7 linked regions of the Oryctolagus cuniculus genome follow. The protein of the gene in region 6 purifies or fractionates together with the protein of the main gene of each other region. This does not show direct contact. Links are inferred from orthologs where the notes say so. Each region holds a gene or a part of one and is shown on either strand. Other genes may lie near its edges. The genes, in order: NOD2, PINK1, TRIM13, NIPSNAP1, PML, SQSTM1 and SESN2.

Region 1 (3,656 bases), on a different chromosome or scaffold from region 6:
CGCTAATGCTCTTGGGAAAGCAACAGAAGATGGCCCAAGTGTCTGGGCCCCTGCCACTTATGTGGGAGACCCAGAAAAAGCTCCTGGCTTAAGCCTGGTCCAGTCTCAGCCATTGTGGTCATGTGGTCATTTGGGGAGTGAACTGGCAGATAGAAAATTCTCTCTCTTTCTCTCCCACTCTCTCTGTAGCTCTGAGTTTCAAATAAATAAATTAAAAAAAAAAATAAAGTCAGGAAAAAGGAAAAATGTCACAACTTGGTGTATTACTATTGGGAGTGAGTCTCCCATCCCTGAGGGTATGGGGTGGGTGGGCCTCTGTACCCCACCAGGAAGAAGGGGGCAGGTTCACGTTGCTGGGAGACCTGGCTGGAGTCGGCTGGGCCTGCAGAGAGCAGGAGTGCACTGGAGGGTGTGTGGAACATGTAGCCAACATGCACTGACACTGACGGTTCACTGTGCTGTTCTTCCCAGGTTCTGGGGCAACAAAGTGGGTGACAAGGGGGCCCAGGCCCTGGCAGAAGCCTTGAGTGACCATCAAAGCTTGAAATGGCTCAGGTAAGACTTCCTCTGCCCTACGGCGGTCATGTGAGAGCCAGGAGGAGCTTGAGCTGCCTTTGAAACTCTTTGAACTTCAGTTCTGCACTCCCATCCCCCGCCCCATCGCCACGTGAGGCAGTCAGGACACTGAGTCTCTCTGGGTGACTTTGGAGATAGCCTTTGCCCTCTCAAGGTCTTCATTCACTCCCCATGAATGGGAGATGCAGGGTAGGATCAGGAGCGTTTGTCTCAAGAAGCACGTCCAGTGCATTGATAGTGGCTGCCCAGTGTACCATGTTGGGGAGGCCTCTAAGGCTGCTCCTGGCCTTAAAGACACTATAATCGATTAGTGATGTCTTAAGTGTAAAACAGTCCTGTAGCCAGTTAGTGATGTCTGATATGGAGCAGACTGGAGAGTGAGGCTGTGTGTGCTGTTTTGCTCTTTGTACATCAGCTAATCTCTGAGGTCCCTCTGTGCTCTGACGTTTTTGCTCCATGTTTACATCCAGCCTGGTGGGGAACAACATTGGCAGTGTGGGTGCCCAGGCCTTAGCATCGATGCTGGAGAAGAACGTGGCACTAGAAGAACTCTGGTGAGTTTGGGGGGGTTCCCTGCTCATGAGAGGCAGTGAACAGCTTTCGTTGGTTCCCTGGCCGCATCCATGGGGCCACCTTGGAAGGCGGAGTGGAGTTCGGGGAAGTTGAAGGAGGAGCGTGGACTGTGCACACAGTGCTGACCTGCAGGGACTCCAAGTTCTCCATCCTTTAGATGCCACTGTAGGGTCTCCTGATGCGCTCTGGGCAGTTCCAGGTCCTAGCAGGGAGGAAAAAGGCTGAGTGTGGTTTCTTGAGGAAGGAGAAAGGCCCTGAAACCTTAGAGGCGTTGCTAGAAATCGGATGTAGGCATACCTCGGAAGTACTATGGGTCCTGTTGCATCCCAGTGCAGTAAAGCAAATCACATACTTTGTTGGTTTCCCCGTGCAGGAGAGTTCTGTTACCGCTCGTCTTCCAAGTGTGCAATTGCTTTATATCATAAAAAATAGTGTATACCTTAATTAAAATATCCTTTATTGCTAAAAAGGGCTAATGATTAGAAAACTGGTGCTGGCAGACCTGCTTAGCAGCAAAGATGCCACAGACCTTCACTTGGTGAAAAACCTGTCTCTGAGCACAGTGAAGGGAGGCAAACTTGTGCTACAACAGCCTTGGTCGTTGGCAGGGCTTGCTAGCTCTGCCAATTTGCCGCTGACTATATACTGATTGGATTCTGTCACTTGGATGTCTAAGTAGAGGAGCACCTCATTGTGAGTGCACCACTTACCACTGCTCTTAAAAACTTTAGACAAACTAAATTTGGCAGTGTTTACTTGAGCAAAGAATGCTCATGGATCAAGAAGAAAGACCCAGAGAGCTCCACCCAGCAATGTGGCCAAATAGTATTTGCAGAGGGTAAAGGGAGGTGACACACAGAGAGAGCTTGATGGGTTACAGCTCAGCATTTGAGATGAGCTGACAGCCTGTGATTGGCTGACGTTCAGCTGCTATGATTGGCTGAGACTTGGCTGTTTGTTATACGAATATACTCTTAGATTGCAATTTATTTATGTGCTAACTTAGGTTGCAGGTCACTGCATAGGAACTCAAAGTATGGAGGTGGCTTCAGGCCAAATTTAGGTTAGTTTAACACTATATGAAGCTGCAAGTGATAGGAAACCTTCATCTACAGAAGCTTAAGCCAATAAAAGGTTTATGTTTTCGTGGACAGGCAATCTGAAGGTAGGTGACATAGGGCTGGTGTCGTAGCTACAAAAGGCCTAGTTTCTGTGTCTTTCTGGTCCATCGTCCTTAGCCTATGACTTCATCCTTACAGTTGTTGCCCCCTAATCACAAGGTAGCTGCCCCTACCTGCGATATTACTTCTGTATTCCAGGATTCAGAATGGATACAAACCTGGAAGGAGGAAAGCCACAGGCTGGCCAGGTCTCTTTCCCAGAAACCCCTCCTGTCAACTTCCCCTTGTGTATCAAAGCCCTGTGTATGTCTCTTGCCCAGCTCTGGCTGCAGTGGATGTTGGGAAATTATTTTTTTTTTTCACTGAGTATGTGACTGCCCCAAATGAAATGAAGCTTCCATTAAAGAAAGGGAATATGGTTGCTGGGGTATGGGAGGAACTCATTATCTAGGAGAGCCCTGGGGCAAATTCCCTTGCAAAATTGTCCTGGAATTGAGAATCTGCCTGCCCTAACTTCATCCATGAACTTGGGTGTTCAGAAGTTGGATTTTCTAAATGGGAGGAGGTATGCAGATTAATCTCTATGCACATCATGAATGTGATCTCATCAGTGAGGTTTTCTCTCTTGTTCTTGCCAGCCTGGAAGAGAACCATCTCCAGGATGCAGGCGTGTGTTCTCTCGCAGAAGGACTAAAGAGGAATTCAAGTTTGAAAGTCTTGAAGTAAGGACCTCACCAGTGGTAGCTGGGGCAGTGATGGCCGGCCTTGGGGAAGGGGTGTTTGTGAAGTAGAGCCTGGGGCAGCTGTGCAGCCAGAGTAACTCACCCTAGGTGGACAGCAGCAGCTTGTGTTAGTCTGGGTCGACAAGGATTCCAGTGCCAACGTGGTTACCTGGGAGGTGGTCCAGCAAACACTGGTGGGAAAGTAGTGAAGTGAGGTGGGGGAGGGAAGGTAACCGATAGGGGCTGGTTCTTGAGCCAGTGATCACTGAGAAATTGGAGCTCAGTCCTGATGGGGCTCTACAGGAATGCAGAACATGGCTGGTTACCTAACCAGACAAGGGCACTTATCCACCATGTGCTGCTGCCTCATATGCTTCGGGGCGGGGAGTGGGGGAGGGTATGAATTCTCCAGCACATGCAGCTTTGGGGTCAGGAGCAAAGCCTCAGGCAGAGAGAGGCAGGTCCTGCCAGCCAGTGGCCCTCAGAGTTGGAGGTCAAAGCCAAGTGAATATGGATGGGCCGGTTGCTGATAGAAATGTCTCTCCCTACTCCAAGGCTGTCTCCCTCTTAGGTGGGATGGCCATCGCCGGTGGTTTCTCTTGTGTTGTGCAGCATGCACACTTACATTTATTCAGGTGATCATTCATTCATTCATTCATTCGTC
Region 2 (3,656 bases), on a different chromosome or scaffold from region 6:
TGAAGGCGTAAGCATGGGAGGCCTGGAGATGGGTGCCCGGCTACAAAGGTGGGTGCGCCCTCGTGCCCATGGTGACTGATGAGAGTCGGGAGGGATCGGCATATGAGACTCTCCGAGAGGAAGCAGCGCCTGGGCGGGTGAGGTGACGGCCCTGAGTCTGACGCGGAGGCGAGCCCAGCGTTTCGGGGATAGGCTGTTTCCTTAGCACCACGCAGGGCCCAGCAGCCACCTGCCCCTGGCAGAACCTGTACTGAACCGGGTGACCCACCAGAGGCCCGAGAGGCAGCAACAGCCAGGCAGGGCTGAGTGACTGCTCCGGGGCGCGCCTGGTCTCATCTGCTTGCCTGCCGCGGGGCCAGGGCCAGGGCCCTGTGGGGAGCCGGCTGCACAGTCAGGCGGCTGCAGGACTGCCGGGGTGGGGGCAGCAGAGGACCATGTGTCCCCGGGACTCAGACGTCCTGACCTCGCCCCCGCCACACTGGGCTGTGCCTGTCATCGCGGTGCAGGGAAAGGACGTGAAAATGTGCTCAGGCAGAGTGGCCCGAGCCCCGGGGAGCAGTCAGGCCCGGTGCGGTTGGGTTTTTATGGACTCTGGGACTGTGGGTGTGAGGCCCCTGCCTCGGAACACCTCTCCCCGCCGGCTCTCTTCCTTCCCTTCCCGGCTCCCTGGCTCACGGAGCGCTCTCTCCCTCGCAGGCCATCTTCACCCAGAGAAGCAGGCTGGAGGCCGACCCGCTGGCCGCCAGGCGCCGGCAGGGCTTCCAGCTGGAGGAGTACCTGATCGGGCAGCCCATCGGCAAGGGCTGCAGCGCCGCCGTCTACGAAGCCGCCATGCCCGCCTTGCCTGTGCGCCTGGAGGTGGCACAGGGTGCCCGGCGCCCGGGGAGCGGCCCGGATCCCGCGGCAGCAGGAGCCCAGGAGGCGCACGCTCCCGCCACCCCTGCCTTTCCCTTGGCCATCAAGATGATGTGGAACATCTCGGTAAGGGCGGCCCTTCCTCTGCTGAGTCGGCGTCGCCCACAGCGCGGGGTCTTGGTGGGCCCTGGGGAGGGTCCTCCGGGCGGGAGCTAGGGAACGTGTGGCCCCGCCCCCTCGCCATCTCTCCCGGGGTCCAGAGCTCCCTGTAACCTGTCCGCAGCCACCTGGGACTGAGCAGCTCAGGGGGGGGCCTCGGGTCCTGCCTCTGGAGCCAGCTCCTGGGGGGTGCCAGTGCAGTGGGTCTGTGGGCCACGCAGGAGCGAGTGCCCGCACCAGTGGCTTCCAGACCCATCGGTGGGCTCACGTCTGGCCGGCCGTTGCTTGGAACCACCACCATGCTGGCGAGGAGCCGGCCCCCCCGCCCCACCCCCACCCCCAGCTGGAGGCCTCGCCTGTCAGCCCCGCTCTCAGCTCTCGGAAGGCCCTGGCAAGTAGAATACTTTCCCCGACATGAGCGTGGGTCTGTCTGTTAGAGGAATCTTTCCCCACCCGTCGAGGTTGGGTTTAGAGAATTAATCCACCCCTGGCACGCCCCTGCTCAGAACACGCACCCACGGCGGAGGCAGAGAGCGGCCCGGCCCCCCGCGCTCCATACCGGCGCGTGCAGTTTCTGGCTGGGATGCGGGCCTTGGGACCGGGAGTGTGGAGGCTTGGCTTCCCACCTCACAGCGTTGCCTCCTCCGCCTGAAGGTCAGAGCTGGCCCCAGGCACGCGGCCGCGTCTGTGTAACCCTGGTCTTTCCTGCTGCCGCTGCAGGCCGGCTCCTCCAGCGAGGCCATCTTCAGGACCATGAGCCAGGAGCTCGTCCCAGCCAGCCGAGTGGCCCTGGCCGGGGAGTACGGAGCGGTCACGCACAGGTGAGCGCCCCCCCCCCCACCTGGCCAGCTGAGTTCTTTGAGAGCCAAGTCATCGCCTGGGTCCCCGCACTCAGCGCGATGCCAGATGTGACACAGCAACAAATGTTTCCCGAATCATTTGATCAGGCGGGTTTTCAGTCGGGGGAGAATTTAGCTTGGCAAAGATTTCAGATCACGTGGCCCCAGCTGATGCAGATGGCGAATTCACATCAGAGCAGGGGAGAAAGGCCACTCGCAAATGCCCAGTTCCAAACGCGGGGGAAGTGGACGAGGCCCCAGACTCCTCCTAAGCGGTGTGCAGCGCCACCTAGTGGCTACGCCCGCTCGGGGCCCGTTGCACCAGCAGCTCCCTGCGCTGCCGGCACCAGAGTGCTGTGTCGTGCCAGAGTCCTGCGTGTGGGCAGAGCCCGGCCAGCGCAGCGCAGAGCAGAGCCAGTGTTGGCAGTGCCAGGGCAGCGTCTGCCCAGGTGCCCGGTAGGCCGTACGCTCCCTGCAGGGCCAGGCCACGCGGAGGGAGCGCGTGCTCCCTGTGGAGGGTGTTCTCAGCTGAGGGAAGAGCTGATTGGACGGTGCACGGCAGCCTGCAGGCCAGGCCGGCTCTGCAAATGCCGGCTGGGTCAGCGGCGCCCCCCAGGGAGCCGCGGGACAGCTGCGGTGCTGGTGACAGAGTGGAGGGTTGGCTTTCCCATCTCAGTCCCGTCAGGCGCAGGAAGACAGCGACGTGTGGGGATAGGCATGGAGAAGCCCTGTGGCCTGGAAGAGTCCCGGGTGGCTGAGTCCCTGCTGGGCCCCAGGAGCGTGGTGCTGCCGCCCTCCCCTCCCCAGCCCTCTGTGCAGGAAACAGCTGCCCAGGGCGGACGTGAATCCTCACTGCTGTGATGTCACCTGCCTGACGCCCCTCTGTCATTTCACAGCATGAATCGTCATCCAGCCCCCCCCCCAGATTGATTTTCACAGAGTTGCAGAGAAGGGGGGAGTCAGAGAGTCTTCCATCTGCTGGTTCATTCCCCAGACGGCTGCCATGGCCAGCACTGGGCCGGAGCGAAGCCAGGAGCCCCCTCTGGGTCTCCCACAAGAGTAGGGACCCAAGCACTTGGGCCATCTTCCACTACTTTCCCTGGCACATTAGCAGAGAGCTGGATCGGAAATGGAGCAGCCAGGACTTGAACTGGCACCCACATGGGATGCCAGCGTCACAGGTGGTGGCTTTGCCCACTGTGCTACAATGCCAACCCACCATGTAGTCTTTTTTTTAATATTTATTTATTTATTTGAAAGGCAGAGTTACAGAAAGGCAGAGAGAGAGAGAGAGATCTTCTGTCCGATTGTTCACTCCCCAGATGGCTACAACAGCCAGAGCTGCGCCAGTCTGAAGCCAGGAGCCATAGCAGAGAGTTAGATCAGAAGTGGAGCAGCTGGGTCTCGAACTGGCGCCCATATGGACGCCAGCAGGCTGCAGCTTTATCTGCTACGCCACAGCCAGCCCCCCACCATTTAGTCATAAATCAGACGTCTTTGTAGATTCGCTGCCGTCCGGCTGTGCCATAGGCGCATATCCATGGAGTGCAGGACGGCTGTGGCGGGAGCAGCTCTGCCCCACAAGCCCCCGGGAGTGTCCCCTGCCTGCACCTCCTAGGAGCCCCCCGCGAGGTGCACCTCCTGCTTCTCCGTCATCCGTCTGCACTTACCCCTCCACTCCGCCAAGCTGCCCCAGGACGGACGGCTCCTGACGCAGCAGCTTAGCACGTGCGTGGCCGCACCCCCCACCGACTCCCATGTTACTGTAGACCCATTGCCCTTGGAGCAGGCACCCGTCCTGGG
Region 3 (3,932 bases), on a different chromosome or scaffold from region 6:
AAAGAACTTATTGGACTGTCTGCTACTTTAAATGGATCTTTTATCTGTGCACAACATTACGCATGCAGACTTGAGAAAATAGCTCAGTGTCATTTAAATCTTCAAATACTGACGTTTAAGAAAACAATACTCCACCCCACCTCCAGACATGAAGTAATATAACCATTGATTTCATCAGAAAAGTCTTTAATTAATGGGAAGCTGTGAAGCTCAGAAGTGGCAAGTATGTTTTCCAAAAGTCTAATTTTCACATAAAAACCTTTTCACTGGTAAGAAATACTGTTACTTGCTTTCCTTGAAGTAACAAGCTCATTTTGTTCATTTTCAAGAAAATGCCTATCCTATATCTAAATCTGAACAGCCATGGTTGGCTATGCAAAAAGCAGTAGGTTCAGCCTGCAACTCAGATATATAAGTGGTTTTCCTCACATAACAACTCTGGTATGCAGAAGCGCTGTATATGTACCGCTCATTTTGTCAAATATTAAAAAAAGACATGCATACAAGGATTGAGGTATAATAAAATTAATACTTTTCCTGTTCATCAGGAACATTCGTAAATGAATCTGGCTCCCAACCCTACCAGGAATTGATGGTGATAAATACGACTGGTGGCACAACCCTACCAGGAATCGATGGTGATAAATACAATGACTGGTGGCACAATTTGTTGTTGCTTATTGCCTTGCTTTCTTGTGAAAGCTCCATCCTGCCATTGCTTTTGCTGTCAGTGCAAATGTTAACAGGGGTTCAGAAAGCAAATGTCACCTTTACTATCAGGAAAATAAGCTCACAGATGCCCTAAAAGAGGGACACCCACGTTTCTGCCCACACTTTGATAATTGATGGTGTAAATAAGATGGCTTTGATTACTGGCTTTGTAGTTTAAAAATGACAAAAACTGAATTCCCTAGGGAAGAGTGAATCACAACTATCTTGTGCTTTTACCTGTAATTTAGTGATTGTAATCTTGGCTTGGAAATAGAAAAATATACCAACTTCTAATATAAGTCTGCAGGAGGGTACATGCTTAGATTTATAGTATTTCTGTGCTTCTTTCTTTTAAATAGCATACCATTTTATGTTTGTGGGCCCAGGGTAAAGAACTCATTCTATTATAGACACTGAGTGGCTTTGTTTCTGACAGCTAGTAGTCCGCTCTGTTTTCAAACAATCAGTTGGGTCCTACTGGCTCAACTTGCAGTTGTCCTGGTCCTAACCCTGTCTCAGCCAAAGACTGTTGTTGGAAAGTCCACACAAAGGCCTTGTGTACAGGGTGCCCCACTAATGAGGAGCGTGTTCTAGTCCCGGCAGATTAAATCTGCTTTGGTGTGCATTCCCTTCCCAGATTTCTCACTTATTTTTGTTTGGCTGGTTATTTCAGTGAAGGGTCATTTTAATGTGAAGATAGCTTTTTCTAATAAAAGTCATAGTAAAGGAGATTACTGGGGTAAAATGTTATGTCTTTTTCTGTGCTAGGATGTGATGGAGCTGCTTGAAGAAGATCTGACGTGCCCAATCTGTTGCAGTCTGTTTGATGATCCACGAGTGTTGCCTTGCTCACACAACTTCTGCAAAAAATGCTTGGAAGGTCTCTTAGAGGGGAATGTGCGGAATTCGTTGTGGAGACCATCGCCATTCAAGTGCCCCACCTGCCGTAAGGAAACATCAGCTACTGGAGTTAACAGCCTGCAGGTTAATTATTCCCTGAAGGGTATTGTGGAAAAGTATAACAAGATCAAGATTTCTCCCAAGATGCCAGTGTGCAAAGGACACTTGGGGCAGCCTCTAAACATTTTCTGCCTGACTGATATGCAGCTGATTTGTGGGATCTGTGCTACCCGTGGTGACCACACCAAGCATGTCTTCTGTTCTATTGAAGATGCCTATGCTCAGGAAAGGAATGCTTTTGAATCCCTCTTCCAGAGCTTTGAGACATGGCGTCGGGGAGATGCTCTTTCTCGCTTGGATACCTTGGAAACTAGCAAGAGGAAATCCCTACAGTTACTGACTAAAGATTCAGATAAAGTGAAGGAGTTTTTTGAGAAATTACAACATACACTGGATCAAAAGAAGAATGAAATCCTATCTGACTTTGAGACCATGAAACTTGCAGTGATGCAAGCCTATGACCCAGAGATCAACAAACTCAACACCATCTTGCAGGAACAACGAATGGCCTTTAACATTGCTGAGGCATTCAAAGACGTGTCAGAGCCCATCATATTTCTGCAACAGATGCAGGAGTTCAGGGAGAAAATCAAAGTAATCAAGGAAACTCCTTTACCTCCCTCTAATTTGCCCACAAGCCCTTTAATGAAGAACTTTGATACCAGTCAGTGGGAGGACATCAAATTAGTAGACGTGGATAAACTTTCTTTGCCTCAAGACACTAGCACATTCATTAGCAAGATTCCCTGGCGCTTTTATCAGCTACTTGTGGTGGTCCTTCTGCTTGGCCTCCTTGTTTTCTTCAGTCCTACTGTATTCCTAGAATGGTCTTTATTTGATGAATTGGCAGCATGGAAAGACCACCTTTCAAACTTTAGTTCTTATCTGACTGAGAAAGCTGATTTTGTAGAACAATCCATTTTTTACTGGGAACAGGTGACAGATGGGTTTCTCATTTTCAGTGAAAAATTCAGGAATTTTAGTTTGGTGGTGCTGAACAATGTGGCAGATTTTGTGTGCAAATATAAACTATTATAAAATATGTTTCATGTATGCAGTTCTTTTATTAGAATTTGTTAGAATAGTAATTCAACTTTGGTCAAGATTCCAGTCAGATGTTTTCCTCGAAAAAAATTTCCTTCAAAAACAATGTCCTGTGGTGGCATCTGGCATGTTGTCCTACATTGGAGTGTCTGGGTTTGATACTTGGCTCCAGATTCCTGCTAATGTGAACTCAGGAAGGCAGTGGCTCAAGTGGTTGGGTTCCTGCCACCTACACTGGCAGATGTGGATTGAGTTTGCTGCTCTTAACTTCTGCCTTGGCCCTGGCCCAGCCCCAGTTGTCTCAGATAGGAGCATGTGCTTTCTCTGTATCCTCAAATAAAAACTGAAACAAAAAAATCATATGTTCAAACTAGATAGCATAAGGATAAAAGGGAAACTTGCTAATACAGCCCTGGACCATCCTTCCTTTATAAAGAGTGACTTTGAAATGAGTTTTCTGCCCACAGTATTGATTGTGCTTATGCTGGGATTAAAAATGGGAAGTGAGAGCATATGGTTATCTATTGTATTGACAAGGTAGGTAGTATAACAGTGATTGTCCATCAAGCATGAAATAAAGACTACTCTTGTAAAGCACTTTTTGCATAGTGAACATTCTTTAAGGAAACATGATGTGGATGGAATGGATTTCCCCACTTTTCTAGAGGGCTGATTCATTTCTAATCAAAATATAAATCTTTTGTAAACAGAAACTGGCACTTTCCTGTGATGAATTTACATTTTTCAAGAAGGTGAAGGTTTTAGCTTACCTTTTTGTTTTTTTAAGATTTTCATGAAATATGATTAACTGCAGAAGTGTTAGGGGGCTGTACATAGGCAGATTTAAAGAGATCCAGTGCATGGCAAAAGCAAGAAATGGGAAAGCCATCTTTCTACTGATAGCTCAGTACTTTGTTGTTCCAAAGTACCAGGGCTACTGTACAACCAAACCAATCCACTTGCAGAATTTTTAGACTAATAATAGGTGAAATAATCTGTTGGTTGTTATAAAGTACAAAGTAAACAGTTGAACACTAAGGCTGCCCTCTATCTGCTCACATGAGAAAAATGCACTATCACAGAATAAAATTACTTAATATTTTCACCTTACCTTCATATGAAAACAAAAAAGTTACCTAAGCTAAGAACTGCTCTCTAGTTCCCCTTCTTTTTTGTCAAGGAACAAGACATTCCTTTGAAAACCCATTAAGTGGAAT
Region 4 (3,656 bases), on a different chromosome or scaffold from region 6:
CTGGGCGTCGGGCACCAGGCAAGGTGGATTTGGGGTTGATCTTGTGTGGGCCAAGTGGAGGGGAAGGAGGGGTCATGGAGGCCAGGAGGTGGGAGAGAGGTGGGAGGTGGGGCTGCCTGTCCAGGCCCTGCAGAGATTCAAGATGCAGACTGGGTCCTTTCTACAGAAGAGGCCGAACCTGCCCAGCGGTCTCTGGTGGCGTCTCACACTCGAGCTGCCACGGGATCCTGTGGCCCTGTTCCCAGAAACAGGGGCCGCCAGCCTGGGGCAGCAGGGCATCCAAGCAGAGGGAACTGTGGGGGCTACTCCTGCCCACCCCCCTGAATACGTCTGTCCCACAGTTTCTATTCCAAGGACACTGAAGGCAGCTGGTTCCGCTCCCTCTTTGTTCACAAGGTGGATCCCCGGAAGGACGCCCACTCCACCCTGCTGTCCAAGAAGGAGACCAGCAACCTGTACAAGATCCAGTGTGAGTGACTGCTGAGCTGCCCAGCCCCGTGGGCTCTCTGGGGGCCTTGCCGGGCTGTCCTGGGAGCCCCCTGACTGCCCCGCCTCCACGCACACGCCCTGCTTCACCTTGCACCCTGTGTTCTCCTCGCAGTTCACAACGTGAAGCCTGAGTGTCTGGATGCCTACAACAGCCTGACGTGAGCATCGTCCTCCAGCTGCCCGGGCCAGTGCCTGCCTGGGTGGGGGCCCGCATCCCGGCAGATCTCAGAACTCCCACTGCCCCTTTCGGGAATCTGTAGATTCAGAGCCGGAAGTCCAACCTCTGCCTCTTAGCCATGGGAGGCTGAACCCTGCCCTGGGGGCCTGGGTTGGGACCCTCCTGTGGGGGTTCCTGGAGCTGGTCTGAGCCCTGCCCCTTCTCTGTGCTCCTCCCCCAGGGAAGCTGTGCTGCCCAAGCTGCACCTGGATGAGGACTACCCCTGCTCGCTCGTGGGCAACTGGAACACGTGGTATGGGGAGCAGGACCAGGCAGGTAAGGAGGTGCCCACCTCCCCAGCACCGCTGCCCAGCCAGCGTCTCACACCTGGCTGCCTTCCACTGCCCGCACTGGGTGGGGGGCTTCTTCCCAAATGCACAACTGATCACCCCAGCACCCACCTCAGCTCCCTCGGTCCTCGGCGTGGCCTCCAAGGCTCCAGCCCTTCCTCACTCAGCCAACAGCCTCATGGTGCCACCTCTGCCTTGTGCACTGCTGTCCCTCGTTCCTGTAGCAGGGACCCAGCCTGCATCTTGAATCTTTGCAGGGCCTGGACAGGCAGCCCCGTCTCCCACTCCTCTCCTCATTCAGTCCCCAGTGCACGCCTCAGCCTTCTTGTTCCGAGCTCTTGTTCTCTCACACCTTATTTGGCTCACTGGCTTTTGTTTTGGCGTCAGTGTCACCTCCCCTCACTCCGCACGCCCAGTGCTTGGCCACGCTGCCCCCGATCATTCGCACCTGTAGCTGTCCGTCTCCCTCTCTAGGTGGTGAGTTCTGGGGCTGCAGGGTTGTGTGCACCGCTGAACTCCCAGTGTGCAGCACATGGTTGTGGAATAAACTGGCTCCTTACAGCTTCCAGGAGCACCCCCAGAATGCTCCATCCCACCCCAACATAACCCACCGAAGTTGGCACCCGCCGCTAGGACCCACACGTGAATTGGCCCCTTCATGGGGCCTCGGCCTTGACCTGCACTATCCAGAATGGTAGCGCTAACAACGTGTAGCTGTTTACATTTACACTGGGGGTGGGCATTTGGCCTGGTGGTTACGCTGCCACGTGGGACACCTGCATCCCGTATTGGAGCGCCTGGGTTTGTTTTTGTTTGTTTGTAAAGATAGATTGGTTTATTTGAAAGGGAGAGCCTGGATTGAGAAATACCTTTTTCTCTCTTTGCATCTGTCTGTCTCCCTCTCTCTGTCTCTTTGCCTCTCAAATAAGTAAAAATGGTATAAGAAATTTAATGTTAATTTTTTTTTAGATTTATCTACATATCTGAAAGTCAGAGTTGCAAAGAGAGAGAGAGAGAGAGAGAGAGAGAGATCCTCCATCTGGTTCACTCCCCAGATGGACGCAACAGCCCGGGCTACATGCTGAAACCAAAAGCCAGGTGCTCCATCCCAGTCTCCCACTTCAGCCGCTTCTCCCAGACCATTAGCAGGGAGGAGGATCGGAAGTGGTGCAGCTGTGACGTGAATCAGCGCCCATATGGGATGCTGTTATTGCAGGTGGTGGCCTTATCCACTACACCACAATGCCGGCCCCTAATGTCTTAAAATTAAATAAAATAAAATTTTTATTGAAATTAAATAAAATGGACAATTCAGTTGCTTAGTTACACCAGCCACGTTTCAGGTGCCCCCTGATAGACATGTGGCTCATGGCTGCCATCTCGGATAGTGTCGCTAGTGAATATTTTCATTGTAACGGGAAGCCCTTCTGGGCAGTGCCAGCTTAGCCTGTCTGCATAGCGCAGAGCAATGGTCCTCTAACCCTCCCTTGAATGCTGTCAGCAGTGGAGGGCTCACTTCCTTGTAAGACGGCCCGTCTCACCCTTTGACAGCCCTGATACTTGTGTATCTGTAAGAATCTAGGACTAGGCTGGCGCCGCGGCTCAATAGGCTAATCTTCCGCCTAGCAGTGCCGGCACACCGGGTTCTAGTCCTGGTCGGGGTGCTGGATTCTGTCCTGGTTGCCCCTCTTCCAGGCCAGCTCTCTGCTGTGGCCCGGGAGTGCAGTGGAGGATGGCCCAAGTGCTTGGGCCCTGCACCCCATGGGAGACCAGGAGAAGTACCTGGCTCCTGGCTTCGGATTAGCACAATGTGCCAGCCGCAGCAGCCACTGGGGGGTGAACCAATGGAAAAAGGAAGACCTTTCTCTCTCTCTCTCTCTCTCTCACTGTCCACTCTGCCTGTCAAAAAAAAAAAAAAAAAAAAAAAAAAAAAAAAAAGTCCCGGTCGGAGTGCCGGATTCTGTCCCGGTTGCCCCTCTTCCAGGCCAGCTCTCTGCTGTGGCCCGGGAATGCAGTGGAGGATGGCCCAAGTGCTTGGGCCCTGCACCCCATGGGAGACCAGGAGAAGCACCTGGCTCCTGGCTTCGGATCAGCGCGGTGCGCCAGCCTCAGCAGCCATTGGAGGGTGAACCAGCGGCAAAGGAAGACCTTTCTCTCTGTCTCTCTCTCTCTCTCACTGTCCACTCTGCCTGTTAAAAAAAAAAAAAAAGAATCTAGGACTGAGCTAGGTAGACTGTCGCACATAGGTAGAGCTCCTTCATCACGTACCCTGTTTCAGTAACAGGTGTGGGCACACTGAGTAAAGGGATCAGAGAAAAGCACCTCGCCTTCAGGTTCAGCTCCTGCAGTTTTCCCACGTTAGGCCTGGCTTGATCAACTCCAGGCCCTGAGTGGATTCTCCTTAAGTGTTTGCTAGTTGGGAAATGAACTTCAAGGGGTGGGATCCTGACTTTTTTTTTTTTTTTTTTTAATGTATTTGACAAGTAGAGAGGTAGACAGAGGGAGATCATCCACCTGCTGGTTCACTCCCCAAACACTGAAAACAGCCTTTGCTGGGCCAGGCTGAAGCCAGGAGCCCAAATGTCCTCCACCTGGGACTCCCACATGGGTGGCAAGGTCCCAAATGCTCCCGTTCGGGTGCACATCAGCAGGGAGCTGGG
Region 5 (3,656 bases), on a different chromosome or scaffold from region 6:
CGTGCACCTGCTGCAGCAGCTCGCGCTCCTGCGCCTGCACGTGTGCCACCACCTGGCGCACGCGCTCGCGGATCAGGTCCTCGGCGTCGGCGCGCGCGCGGCCCAGCTGCCCGATGGCCGCGCGCACCTGCGCGAGCGCAGCCCCGAAGGCGCCGCCGCGCTCCCGCAGCGCGCGCGCCGTGGCGTCCAGCTCGTCCTGGCGCTGCAGCACCTCGGCGCTCAGGTCGCACTTGAGGTCGCTGTGGCCGCTGTCCAGGAGCGCACACGAGCAGCACAGGGGCTTGTGGCAGCCCCGGCAGTAGATGCTGCGGGAGAACCGTCTGGGTTAGGGCTCGCCGGCTTCTTCCCAAACTGCCAGACCCCACTGGCGTTTGGCGCACCTGTTGGGACCCACCTCACCCCCTACATCCCATATCCGAGTGCCCGAGTCCCAGTCCCAACTCCGCTCCCATCCAGCTTCCTGCTGAGGCGCACCCTTGGAGGTCGCAGGGGCAGGCTCAGGTCATCGGGTCCCTGCCCCCCACGGGGGTATCCGGGCAGTTTGCAGCCCTGGCTGTTTAAGGGCTTTTGGAAGCAGACGGAAGATCCTCCCCCCGTCTGCCTGTCTCTCTGCCATTCAGATGAAAAAAAAAATCCCCTAGATAAAAGTGCCAGAGTTTGAGTCATAGTAGGTGTGCAGGTTCACGCTTTCCCGACGCAGCGTTCATGGCGCTGGTGCCAGGGCCCAGAGCAGCACACGAGAGTAAAGCTGCGGCGGCCTGTGCCTCCAGCTGCAGGACGCGGAGAATGCGTACAAAAGGAATTCGCGGAATTGATGTTTCCTTTATAAAATAAACTTATTTTTAAGGGTTTATTTATCTGAAAGGCAGAGCAGTAGAGGGAGAGAGAGAGGTCTTCCATCTGCTGGTTCACTTCCCAGATGGCCGCAATGCCCAGGGCTGGGCAGGCCGAAGCCGGGAGCCAGGAGCTTCCCCTGTGCTTCCCAGCCCCCCAGGGCCCCTCCCCCATCTTCACTCTCCCCCTACCCCCACTCCCCGCTGAAAAACCTCCAAAAATCATTTGTTCTCAAGAACAAAGTGTTTTCAAACTACCAGGGTCACTGACGTCTCAATAGGCGGGGAGTCTCCACGTGAACCAACACGCCAACCCCGCCCCCTGGTGAGGTGCAGGGACCCGGGGCAGCCTGACGCCCCCTGCCCCCCGCTGGTGAGGTGCAGGGACCCCAGGGGCAGCCTGACGCCCCCTGCCCCCCAGTGAGGTGCAGGGACCCCTGGGCAGCCTGATGCCCCCTGCCCCCCGGTGAGGTGCAGGGACCCCAGGGCAGCCTGACGCCCCCCACCCCCCGATGGTGAGGTGCAGGGACCCCGGGGCAGCCTGATGCCCCCTGCCCCCCACTGGTGAGGTACAGGGACCCCAGGGGCAGCCTGACGACCCCTGCCCCCCACTGGTGAGGTACAGGGACCCCAGGGCAGCCTGACGCCCCCCACCCCCCGATGGTGAGGTACAGGGACCCCAGGGGCAGCCTGACGACCCCTGCCCCCCACTGGTGAGGTACAGGGACCCCAGGGGCAGCCTGACGCCCCCCGCCCCCCACCCCCCGATGGTGAGGTACAGGGACCCCGGGGCAGCCTGACGCCCCCTGCCCCCTGCTGGTGAGGTGCAGGGACCCCAGGGGCAGCCTGACGCCCCCCGCCCCCCACCCCCCGCTGTTGAGGTGCAGGGACCCCAGGGGCAGCCTGACGCCCCCCGCCCCCCACCCCCCGATGGTGAGGTACAGGGACCCCAGGGGCAGCCTGACGCCCCCTGCCCCCCGCTGGTGAGGTGCAGGGACCCCGGGGCAGCCTGACGCCCCCTGCCCCCCAATGGTGAGGTACAGGGACCCCAGGGGCAGCCTGACGTCCCCCAGCCCCTCTCTGGTGAGGTGCAGGGATCCCAGGGGCAGCCTGACGCCCCCTGCCCCCCGCTGGTGAGGTGCAGGGACCCCGGGGCAGCCTGACGACCCCTGCCCCCCAATGGTGAGGTACAGGGACCCCAGGGGCAGCCTGACGCCCCCTGCCCCCCACTGGTGAGGTGCAGGGACCCCAGGGGCAGCCTGACGACCCCTGCCCTCCACTGGTGAGGTACAGGGACTCCAGGGGCAGCCTGACACCCCCTGCCCCCGCTGGTGAGGTGCAGGGACCCAGGGGCAGCCTGACGCCCCCTGCCCCCCACTGGTGAGGTACAGGGACCCCAGGGGCAGCCTGACGCCCCCTGCCCCCCGCTGGTGAGGTACAGGGACCCCAGGGGCAGCCTGCCGCCCCCTGCCGCCCGATGGTGAGATGCAGGGACCCCAGGGGTAGCCTGACGCCCCCCGCCCCCCGATGGTGAGATGCAGGGACCCTGGGGGCAGCCTAATGCCCCCCGTCCCCCACTGGTGAGGTGCAGGGACCCCGGGGCAGCCAGACCCTCCCTGACTGACGTCCATCATCCACCAGAACAGCCTGCTCCCCCCTCAGCAGAGCCGGGGCCCCGCCCTCCTTGCTGCACGCCCCAGAGGGAGGGGGCATCTGGCCTGGAGCCCTCCTCCCTCCTCTCCTGGGGGCTCTCGGCCTGCGGGGCTGGGAGCCAGGGGGAAGCAGCAGGAGGTCCCCAGGAGCTCCCTGGGGGCTGGGACACAGCGCTCACCCCATCCCCATTCCCTGTCCCTTCTCAGGCGGCTCAGGGCCACCTCTGCTTCTCTCAGGAGAAATCCTGCCTGTGGGTTGGGGATACAGCACCCCCCTGCCCTGAGTGTCTCCGGGGAGCCCGGGGCATGGACACACTGCCCCCCATGTGTCCAGCGCCCCCAGCTGCTGCAGGAGTGGGGAAGGGTGGGCGGTGCAGACCACGCAGGCGCCTCCAGGACTGCAGGGGCAGGGTCCCGGGTGACGGTCACTGTCACTGTCACTCAGCTCTGGGTCCTCACAGCACTTGGGTGGAAAATCCCCACACAGACCCCACAGATCCTGCCTCATCCCAGACCCCAAGTGCTGAGAGTGAGAGGGGAGAGAGAGAGAGAGAGAGAGAGAGAGAGAGAGAGAGAGAGAGAGATGGAGAGAGAGAAAGACAGATACAGAGAGACAGAGATGGAAAAGGGGAGAAAGGAAGAGAGATAGAGAGGGACAGGGAGAGGCAGAGGGAGGGAGAGAGAGGAAGAGGGAGGGGGAGAGATGGAGAGAGATGGAGAGAGAGAGGGAGAGAGACATGGAGAGAGAGAGAGACTCAGCCTGAAGCCAGGACGGCTGGGGTCTCTGTAGGAGGCACACGGCCAAGCAGGCAGGGGGACCCCGGGGAGCCCAGGGCAGCGAGCAGCAGAGGTCCTGCAGCACCCACAGCCCCAGTGGGGAGGGGGTGGGGCACGCACAGGAGGAGTGCACCCTGCAGACGCCTGGTGCTGGGTGGAGGCCTGGAGAGGTGCCTGAGCTGGCTCTGCCCAGGGTAGGGTGGGCTGGGGAGGGGTCTCCTCCCTGAATCCATCTCCCCCATGATGGGCACCCTGTCCCCTGTGAGGGTGGACACGAGGATGGACCCTGAGTCCACGGGAGAAAGAGGGAGAGACGGCCGCAGCTGTGACTTGGAGTTGTGACCATGGGCCAGGCTCGTCCCTGCATGAAGACCCCAGAACATTCCAGAATGCA
Region 6 (4,089 bases):
AAAGGGGGGGGGTTTGACCCAACAGGGCTGACTCTTAGTCACAGGACCTGCCTGGGAGGTCTGGGGGGGGGGGTGACACACCTCCCTTCCCAGCGCCTTCCCCCAGGCCTTGCAGACAGGTCACTTTGGTCCCAGGAAGCAGAGTTTCTGGATTCCCAGCTGAAAGGTGACTGGTCCCATCCCCTTGGCCGCCCTTGTGGCCAACACTCTTGAGGCCCTACAGGCAGGCACCTGCTGCATTGGCCCCCTGCCCTGACAGGTCTGTTAGGCAGCCTGCATCTGTGAGAGGGAAGAAATGGGAATTTGTGTGGCTGGGTGAGGGAAGAACCACAGAAGCAAGCCTGGGAAGCAGAGCAGTATTTACATCTCAAAAGTCTTAGTTTCAGGTGGGGCCAGTGCTGTGGCGCAGCAGCTGAGCCTTCACCTGCAGCGCCGCATCCCATTTGGGCACCGGTTGTGTCCCGACTGCTCCTCTTCTGATCCAGCTCTCTGCTATGACCTGGGAAAGCAGTGGAGGATGGCCCAAGTCCTTGGGACCCTGCACCCACGTGGGAGACCTGGAAGGAACTCCTGGCTTCGAAGTAGTTCAACTCTGGCTGTTGCAGCCATTTGGGGAGTGAACCAGCAGAGGGAAGACCTCTCTCTTTATCCAAAACTCTGCCTGTAAAATAAATAAACACATTTTTAAAAAAAGAGCCTTGGTCTCCTTCTATAACCTTGTTGAGTGGGTCCCAGCCTTTTCCCAGGGGCAGCTTAGAGAAATCCCTGCCCTGCATTGGGGGGGTGTGTGTGTGTGTGTGTGGCTATTAGGTCCAATAATACTGCTGATGAAGTTCTGGGAGGAATTTCAGGAATTCCACACTCTGGAAGCCCTTCCCCCAGACGTGTCCCAGAAGGGGAGGGGAGGGGAGAGGAGAAAGAGGGCTATACCCGTATCCATAGAAACCCCAGTCTGAAAGCAGGTGGGTTCAGCTCTTGATGGAGATGCCCGCCTACTCTGTCAGGTGCATTCTTTTCATCAGACTTGGCCAGCACGCTTGCTGCTATTCTGTCCCATGGCTGAAGTTCTTGTGCTAAAACAAGGACCCCTGATCAACCATTCCTGGTGATGGTGAGGAAGGGCCTGGGGCGTCAGGCTCAGCCTGCTGGGCTCACAGGGCTGGGGGCGTCCATGTGTCTTTTTGAGCTGCAGTCAGCACTTGGTGACTGACTGCCGTCGCTAGTGGACGAGCCGGCCAGCCGGCCCTGGACAGCTAGGGACGCTCATGCAGGAGGCTGTGGTTGGTGTAGGGCTGCCTTCTGGGGGTCACGCATGGCAGGGCAGCAGGGTACCCTAGCAGCCAGCTGGTTCCGGCTGGTGGTGCCCACTGGGCAGCCTAGATGCCTCCTGGGATAGAGGGCTCTGTGTGTCCTCCTCTGTCCTGTGCTGGGCAACCCCTGCTGATGACCAGGGACCTGCTCTGCTGAGTCACAGCCAGGCCCAAGCCGGAGAGGGGCCTCGGACAGGACCCCAGCCCATTCCTTTCAGGAGGTACAGATGCTGAGGCCTGCTCTGGGGGTCTCCGGTGCCCTGGGGGCAATGAGGGGACAGACTGAGAGCGGTAGACCATGTCAAAGGGCAGCGGGGAGAGGGGCAAGCAGGCACGGGGCCCTGGCAGGGAGACTCGCGAGAGGCGGCCCCGGCGGTGGGGGGCGGCACCCGAAGAGTGCAGGCTCCGCCCCCAGGAGTCCACGTCGGGCGGGGCTTCCGCGTGCCCTACAAAAGCCACGCGCCACTGGCGCCACCGCCGCCGCCTCCTCCGGTGCTCCCTCGGTTGCGCAGCTGCTCGTCGTTCTCCGGCTGCGATGGCGTCGCTCACCGTGAAGGCCTACCTCCTGGGCAAAGAGGAGGCGGCGCGCGAGATCCGCCGCTTTAGCTTCTGCTTCAGCCCGGAGCCGGAGGCCGAGGCCGAAGCAGCGGCCGGCCCCGGGCCCTGCGAGCGGCTGTTGGCCCGGGTGGCCGCTCTGTTCCCGGCGCTGCGGCCCGGCGGCTTCCAGGCGCACTACCGCGGTGAGCGGGCCGGGGGGTGGCCGGGGTCCGGGGCTGCCCTTTCCTAGTCGGTGCCGGCTGCGTCGGAAGGGATGCTGTGCTGGTCGCGCTCTGGGTGAGCGGTGACCTGCGCGTACCCCACTTGCACCTCGGGTGCCAGCCCAGTGACCCAGGCCCTGTCCCTCAGGGGCCGAGGCGATCAGGCCCCGCGGGCTGGGGACTTTGGGTCGTTAGATGCTTCCTGTTCCCCGCCATAATGTTGCAGATCTCGCCAAGGACGCGCCGGGGCGTCCTCTCTGGCCCTGGGCTGAGAAGGTGGTCAGGCGGGCACTCGGGTTACACTGACATCTTGCTGCTGCCGGGGCTGGGCCCGCCGGCGCCAGGTTTGCGTTCAGCGAGCCCTGAAAGTGGGTGGTGGGCGTGGGCGGCTGGGGGACGCAGGGCCCTTGAGCCCGGGGTAGGCCGCAGGTCGCCCAGGGACAAGGCAGTGGGGAGACGGCCGATGTCGAAACGTTCTCCACAAACTCAGAGTGGGGACAAGCCCGGAGCCACCGCTCTTTCTGGCTGCGCTGCTCAGACCGGTAGCTGCTGCTGGGGGTGGGGTCCCGGGACAGCAGTGTGGGAGGGAGGTCCTCGGCCAAGGCCCGCCCCTGGGAGGGAGCAGGGCTGGGACCGCCCTCAGTAGCTTGCCCAGCATTTTTTTTTTTTTTAATTTCCTGGTGACAATTTTATTGAGCTGTAATTCACATACCATAAAATTTACTCATTTAAAGTATATAATTCAAGGGTTTAAAATTTTATTTCATTTTGAAAGGGCAGAGAGACACATACACACACACCCCAACCTACCATCTGCTGGTTCACTCCCCAATGGCTACAGCTGCCAGCCCCAGCCAGGCCAGGAGCCTGAACTCCATCAGTGTCTCCCAGGAGGGTAGCAGCAACCCAGGCACTTGAACCATCCTTTGCTGCCTCCTCCAGTGCACATTAGCAGGAAACGGGATCAGAAGTGGAGTGGCCTGGACTCCAACCAGGCACTTTCATATGGGCTGCCAGTGTTCCGGGCTGCCAGTTAGCCGCTGCAGAAATGCCTGCCCCGATGCAGTGGTCTTTAACACATTCACCAGTTGGAACTTCTGAGCAGACTTGGGGCTGGAGAGCGGGGCCAGGCGCTGGCAGTCAGCATGAGAACCCCTTCCTCTCCACTGGAACCCCATGCCTTTTACCTGTCTCCCTCAGCTCCTGCAACGCTGAGCTGCTTTCTCTCCTGGGCGTCCTCTTCTGGACAGTGGTGGAGAGGGGGTTGTACAGTTTAGCTTTGTGTCTGGCTTCTTTCCTTAGGGAAATGCGTTCAGGTTCATCAGAGGTGTAGGCTGCATCTGTATTCGTTTCTTTTGTGGATATGCCATATCGTGTTTGTGTCATTAGTTGATGGACTTTTGGGTTGTTTCGCAAAAGTGCCACTCTTGCTCTGAGGGTAGATGTTGCCCTCTGGTGCCCAAGTCCAGGCCCCGCCTGCAGCCTGTGCACGGTGCGGTCTGGTCTGGTCTGTGTGGCAATGCTTTAAAATCACGGAAGCCAACATAGAAGGACTCAGCCTTTTTTCTTCGTTGGAGAAAGCAGCAGGCCTCTGGGCTCATCTCCACTTAAACATTGCAGACAGCCCAGAGCCTTTGGCGGGCTGGGCCTCTGAGGGACAGGGCACTGTTATTGTCCGTGTAGTGTACGCGGAAACTTTGCCTTTTAGGTGTGACCGTGGCCCAGGTTCAGGCCCAGGCGGGCACACTTCCTGTCCAGTGAATGGGCAGGCTCCCTTCTTATCCCCGATCTGTCCAGCCCCACCCCTAAAGAAGTGGCCTTGGTGGGCATCAGGCCTAGTGGTTAGTTCACCCATTAAGATACCTGGGGCCCGTGTTGGATCCCAGCTCCCGACTCCAGCTTCCTGCCAGGACAGATGCTGGCAGGGGGTAGGTGAAAGTTCAAGTAATTGGGTCCTCACCTCCTACATGGGAGCCCTGGATTGAGTTCCTGGCTTCTGCCCAGCCCAGTCCCGGCCCTTG
Region 7 (4,419 bases), on a different chromosome or scaffold from region 6:
GCTCCTTGCCGCTTTTCTTGAGCACCCACACAGCCAGGAGCGTTATCAATGAAGTACAGCTTCTTCATTGCCATCAAGCCTCGCGAAGGGGTTTGACAAACAGCACTGTGGAGGAAAACCTCTCTGCAAAGGGGTAGAACTGGAACCTTCAGCTCCCAGATCTCGATCCCAGTTGCAGGCTTTGCTGCTGATGAGGGGTTTAGAAGTCTTTTGGGAGTAGGAAGAGCTGGGACAGGATGGTGGCCAGAGCCAGGGGTGTTGCTCTAGGGCAGGTCTATATAGGGGTGAGGGCGAGCCTGAGGAGTTGGGGTGGGGGAAGGGAGGGCAGGAAAGTGGGGCTCCGTGAGGCAGTCTTAAGGTGAAATCCAGTCGCCGATCTCAAGTTTCTAGCCTCCACTGTGTGGTCAGCTTTCTGGGCAAAATCTCTCCGGACCCGAGGCTCCCCGCTCCCAGGCTAAGAGCCGGAACAATGTCCGTTCAGGCCGCGAAGCCCTTTGAGAGACTGGCCCTTGCTGGCAGCAGGAAAGTCTTCAGCAACCACACGGTCCTGGCCTTTTCGCCAGACCTTTGGGCGATGTCACGGGACCCAAAGATCTATAAACGCGGAACGGTTTGGGGGGCGGTCTTGGGGCCACCCTTTTTCCCCAGCCAGTTCTGGCTGAGCCGTGGCAGGGCCCGACCTGCAGGGGGCGCTGAGGGCTCACGCAGCCGACGAAACTCAACGGGAACGCTAAGCAAATAGCCCCAAAGCACCCAGCGGGTTAGTTTTCCTATTTTAATAAGAGGAGCGAGCTTTTCCAAACCTGAGGGTTTCTGTCCTGGACGCAACCCAGCAAAGCGAAGCATATGCACCGCGCAGCACCAGTTCCCTCGACAGGGGCTCTGGAAGTTAGAGCAGCTCAGGTCAATTCTTTTGTTTTAGGGATGAGGAAACGGATTCTGAGAGCTGAGACAAAAATCAGCTGGGATCGCAGAGCTAAAAGCTAGCACCCCGGTTGCCTGACTCCTGGAATGTGGTCTTGGGAGATAGATAGCTGACTCCAAGAGTGTATGGCTGCCCCCAGTACACATCTCTGGGGGAACAATTTCAGTTCTGCTTGGGTAGCGGGACGGCTCAGAACAAGTCTGCTGGAGCAGGGAGGGCCTCCCCCAGCACCGAGCACCATGCGGGCTTCATGAGTAATGGAATGAATGTGTGAATAGGCCGGTGGAGAGTGGATCTGTTCTGACTTTATCAAGCCTGTGGGAGGGGGATTTCTTTCCTTGAAAACCTCCTGGGGCAGGGGTTGTGTTCTGAGATTCAGAGAGCTGAGGGAGGAAGACAATAAGAACTCAGAAAATGACATTTGGGCTGATAAATCATAGCTCTGGAATGGTGGCGATATAAGGTTATCATAGCAAGGGCACCCCGGAATTTGGGATTAGAAAATGAATTTAGGAAGAATAAACCCAGAACAGATGAGAATCCTGTGAGAGTCATAATCTGAAAGAGAAGCTGAAGCCGGAAGAAACCTGAAAAACATTTCAAATCCAATCTAGACTTATCTTCAGGACTGGAATGCAATTGAGGAATAAAAATAGCTTTGGCCAATCAGTGGCCTCAACATAGCTGATGCAAGAGTCGAGAGAGTATGGCAACAGGAGGAAGAGATCTTCACTGAACCAAAAATCACAAGGCAGGGGGGAGGGGAGGAATGTGCCCAGGCTGGGGCCACACCCCACCCTCTCGGCATCCCACTGGGCTGGCAGCTTCATGGCTGGATTCCCAGAGCCCAGCACAGTGTCTGGTACACACACCACGGTCAATAAATATTTACTGAATGAAAGGAAGGAAAGCAATGGAGCTCTGACCGGCAGATTTGCTCTGAGTCGAGTGAGTTCAGTGATTCATCTTGGTTCATGGTTCCTTTTGCCAGGACTCCAGCTGCTGTGGCCATTTCCAGGGGATAACTTGGCTTTTCACACATGCTCCCCTACAAGGAGGGATGTGCTGACCCATCTATTAGAGGCCACTTGACAGTTATGTTCCTCACTGCCAATTAATACACCTGCTCTAAGCACCAGTTCCTGTGCCTGCCTGCTCCTTGCAGATTCACGTCGTCCTCTCATTTGGGTGTGCTGGAGTTTCTACTTTGGATTCATAAATGCCTGGGTTTGAGTCCTGGCTCAGAATGCTAAGCCGTCTGGCCTTGGCCAACACACCTCCTAAGCCTGTTTTCTTGTCTGTTAAATGGTGCCCTAATACCTGCTTCACAGGGTTGTGTGAGAGCTACATGAGACAGCAGCTGCGCCACTCCTGCTGTAGCCCAGTTAATGGTAGTGACTGTGCCGCTTCCTGTCTTTCCTTCCTTGCAGATTCCATGACAAAAGACTGCCCAGTTTAGTATATCAGCCTCTTTGGCTTTTCCTTCTCACAAATCACTCACTTTGTAAATGAAGTGTTGGGAATGATCTAATCACGTCCTGGAATATTCTAAAAGGTTACTCTGCAGAGGAGAATAACATATTTATTCAAAAATATCAGGGCTGGCATTGTGGCACAGTGGGTTATGCTGCTTCTTGCAATGCCAGCATACCATATCGGAGAGCCAGTTAGAGTCCCAGCTGCCCCACTTTCAACCCATCCCGCTGCTTACATTCCTGGGAAAGTAGCAGAAGATGGCCCAAGTAGTGGGGCCCCTGTCACCCATGTGGGAGATGAGTAATGTGATCAGGAAAATTCTCTCTCTCTTTTTTCTCTCTCTCTGTGTCACTTTCCCTTTCAAATAATAAAAATCATTAAAAAAAAAACAGTGAAGGCATTGAATGCTGGATACAATTTCAGTGGTCAGGGATTTACAACAAGGAGTACTGAAAAAAAAGTTTCAAGGCCAAACAAGAAACATGGGTGTGGCACATGATGAAACTGACAAAATAAATTGAATCACATCTTGGCAGATTTTGAACATCGAACTTTGTAGTCTGGACATTGATATTATAGAGTAAACTTTTTAGAATGAATTTGACAGGGTAGCTAACAGGGGAATTTAATTGAAGATTCTAGGGCATATTATTAGCAGAACATTGTGATAGGTGACATAGGACAAGAGACAAAGGTGCCCTCAAGAAGCATATAACTGGGCCAGCATTGTAGTGCAGAGGGTTAAGCCATAGTCCCATATGGGCACCCAGCTGCTCCACTTCCAATTCAGCTCCCTGCTAATGTGCCTGGGAAAGGAGCAGAAGATGGCCTGAGTCTTGGGCCCCTGAATGCATGTGGGAGACCCAGAGGAAGCTCCTGGCTCCTGGTTTTGGTCTGGCTCAGTCCTGGCCTTTGCAGCCATTCAGGGAGTGAACCAGCGAATTGAAGATCTCTCGATCCCTCTCTCTCTCTCCTTCTCTCTCCCTCCCTCTCTCTCTAGCTCTGCCTTTCAAATAAATAAATAAATAAATACATCTTTTATAAAAGAAGCTTATAAGCAGATAAGACACTATAAACACAATTTGTAATACAAAGTACATGTGATAAGTGTTAAAACAGAGACCCCAGCCCACGTGCTTTGGGAGCTCAGCAGTAGGTTAGATTAGCTTCCTTGTCTGAGAAAGCTGGAGGCAGAACGAGACAGAGGCTCATCCTTGGAATCTAAACCCAGATTAGACAAGATCCCCTCCATCCTTGCCCCCTCCAGGATCCCATGCCCAGAATAAACAATGACATTCCAACTGAAACACAGGAGCCTGTGCTGTGGCGCAGCAGGTTAGGCCGCCAGCATCAAATATTGGAGTGCTAGTTCGAGTCCCAGCTACTCAGCTTCCAGTCCTGCTCCCTGCTAATGTGCCTGAGAAAGCAGCGGGGGATGACTCCAGTCCTTGGGCCCCTGCATCCACGTGGGAGACTCCTGGGCTCCTGGCTTCAGCCTGGTCCAGCACTGGCAACAGCAGATGGAAGACCCCTCCCCCACCCCCTTCTTCCTCTCTGTCACACTGCTTTTCAAATAAATATTTTTTTTTTAACTTGAAACCCAATGGGTCAAGAAAAAACATGGAGGAAGAGGCTCTGTGGGAAGTGAATGGAGGCTGAACCTGGCTTTGGGCCCTGGGGTGCTGTAGATGCAACTTCCTTGCAAGAGGAGAGCTGAAGACCAGGAATCAGATGAGATCAGGGAGAGTGTGTCTGGAGAGAAGAGGGATGAAAACAGAAACTAGGGGAGCACCCACGTTTTAGGGAGTGGGAAGAGAGGGGGGAGTGGCCAGAGGATGAGGTAAGCATAGACTCAGCAGAGCACCTCGTTACTAAGTTTCGCTTAGGAGGGTGGCAGCTGTGGAAGGGTGGAAGACAGGACGGAAGCCCCTGGGGCGCAGAAGGCAGAAAGTGTTGTGACCGGGCTGGAGATCAGGCCCGAGGTTGGCGGATGAAGGAGTTTACAGGGACTCCACAGT

Evidence for each region.
Region 1: the proteins of SQSTM1 (region 6) and NOD2 purify together in Homo sapiens (affinity purification with western blotting; 4 studies listed by BioGRID and IntAct, with this or other methods). This does not show direct contact. The link is inferred for Oryctolagus cuniculus from reciprocal best matches to the Homo sapiens genes SQSTM1 and NOD2.
Region 2: the proteins of SQSTM1 (region 6) and PINK1 purify together in Homo sapiens (affinity purification with mass spectrometry; 3 studies listed by BioGRID and IntAct, with this or other methods). This does not show direct contact. The link is inferred for Oryctolagus cuniculus from reciprocal best matches to the Homo sapiens genes SQSTM1 and PINK1.
Region 3: the proteins of SQSTM1 (region 6) and TRIM13 purify together in Homo sapiens (affinity purification with western blotting; 3 studies listed by BioGRID). This does not show direct contact. The link is inferred for Oryctolagus cuniculus from reciprocal best matches to the Homo sapiens genes SQSTM1 and TRIM13.
Region 4: the proteins of SQSTM1 (region 6) and NIPSNAP1 purify together in Homo sapiens (affinity purification with mass spectrometry; 4 studies listed by BioGRID and IntAct, with this or other methods). This does not show direct contact. The link is inferred for Oryctolagus cuniculus from reciprocal best matches to the Homo sapiens genes SQSTM1 and NIPSNAP1.
Region 5: the proteins of SQSTM1 (region 6) and PML purify together in Homo sapiens (affinity purification with western blotting; 3 studies listed by BioGRID and IntAct, with this or other methods). This does not show direct contact. The link is inferred for Oryctolagus cuniculus from reciprocal best matches to the Homo sapiens genes SQSTM1 and PML.
Region 7: the proteins of SQSTM1 (region 6) and SESN2 purify together in Homo sapiens (affinity purification with western blotting; 3 studies listed by BioGRID and IntAct, with this or other methods). This does not show direct contact. The link is inferred for Oryctolagus cuniculus from reciprocal best matches to the Homo sapiens genes SQSTM1 and SESN2.

The regions. Positions count from the first base shown.
Region 1 is NC_091449.1:34,272,619-34,276,274, forward strand, and holds part of NOD2 (nucleotide-binding oligomerization domain-containing protein 2), read left to right. Parts: intron 1-471; coding exon 472-555; intron 556-1,046; coding exon 1,047-1,130; intron 1,131-2,908; coding exon 2,909-2,992; intron 2,993-3,656. UniProt on the Homo sapiens protein: Pattern recognition receptor (PRR) that detects bacterial peptidoglycan fragments and other danger signals and plays an important role in gastrointestinal immunity.
Region 2 is NC_091438.1:150,132,041-150,135,696, reverse strand, and holds part of PINK1 (serine/threonine-protein kinase PINK1, mitochondrial), read left to right. Parts: intron 1-696; coding exon 697-981; intron 982-1,734; coding exon 1,735-1,835; intron 1,836-3,656. UniProt on the Homo sapiens protein: Serine/threonine-protein kinase which acts as a sensor of mitochondrial damage and protects against mitochondrial dysfunction during cellular stress.
Region 3 is NC_091440.1:69,269,324-69,273,255, forward strand, and holds TRIM13 (E3 ubiquitin-protein ligase TRIM13), read left to right. Parts: upstream 1-1,485; coding exon 1,486-2,709; 3' UTR 2,710-3,312; downstream 3,313-3,932. UniProt on the Homo sapiens protein: Endoplasmic reticulum (ER) membrane anchored E3 ligase involved in the retrotranslocation and turnover of membrane and secretory proteins from the ER through a set of processes named ER-associated degradation (ERAD).
Region 4 is NC_091452.1:22,927,448-22,931,103, reverse strand, and holds part of NIPSNAP1 (protein NipSnap homolog 1), read left to right. Parts: intron 1-341; coding exon 342-469; intron 470-601; coding exon 602-647; intron 648-887; coding exon 888-982; intron 983-3,656.
Region 5 is NC_091443.1:109,465,538-109,469,193, forward strand, and holds part of PML (protein PML), read right to left. Parts: intron 306-3,656; coding exon 1-305.
Region 6 is NC_091437.1:67,652,917-67,657,005, reverse strand, and holds the start of SQSTM1 (sequestosome-1), read left to right. Parts: upstream 1-1,247; 5' UTR 1,248-1,608; coding exon 1,609-2,050; intron 2,051-4,089. UniProt on the Homo sapiens protein: Molecular adapter required for selective macroautophagy (aggrephagy) by acting as a bridge between polyubiquitinated proteins and autophagosomes.
Region 7 is NC_091438.1:143,426,834-143,431,252, reverse strand, and holds the start of SESN2 (sestrin-2), read left to right. Parts: upstream 1-1,480; 5' UTR 1,481-1,612; coding exon 1,613-1,873; intron 1,874-4,419. UniProt on the Homo sapiens protein: Functions as an intracellular leucine sensor that negatively regulates the mTORC1 signaling pathway through the GATOR complex. In absence of leucine, binds the GATOR subcomplex GATOR2 and prevents mTORC1 signaling.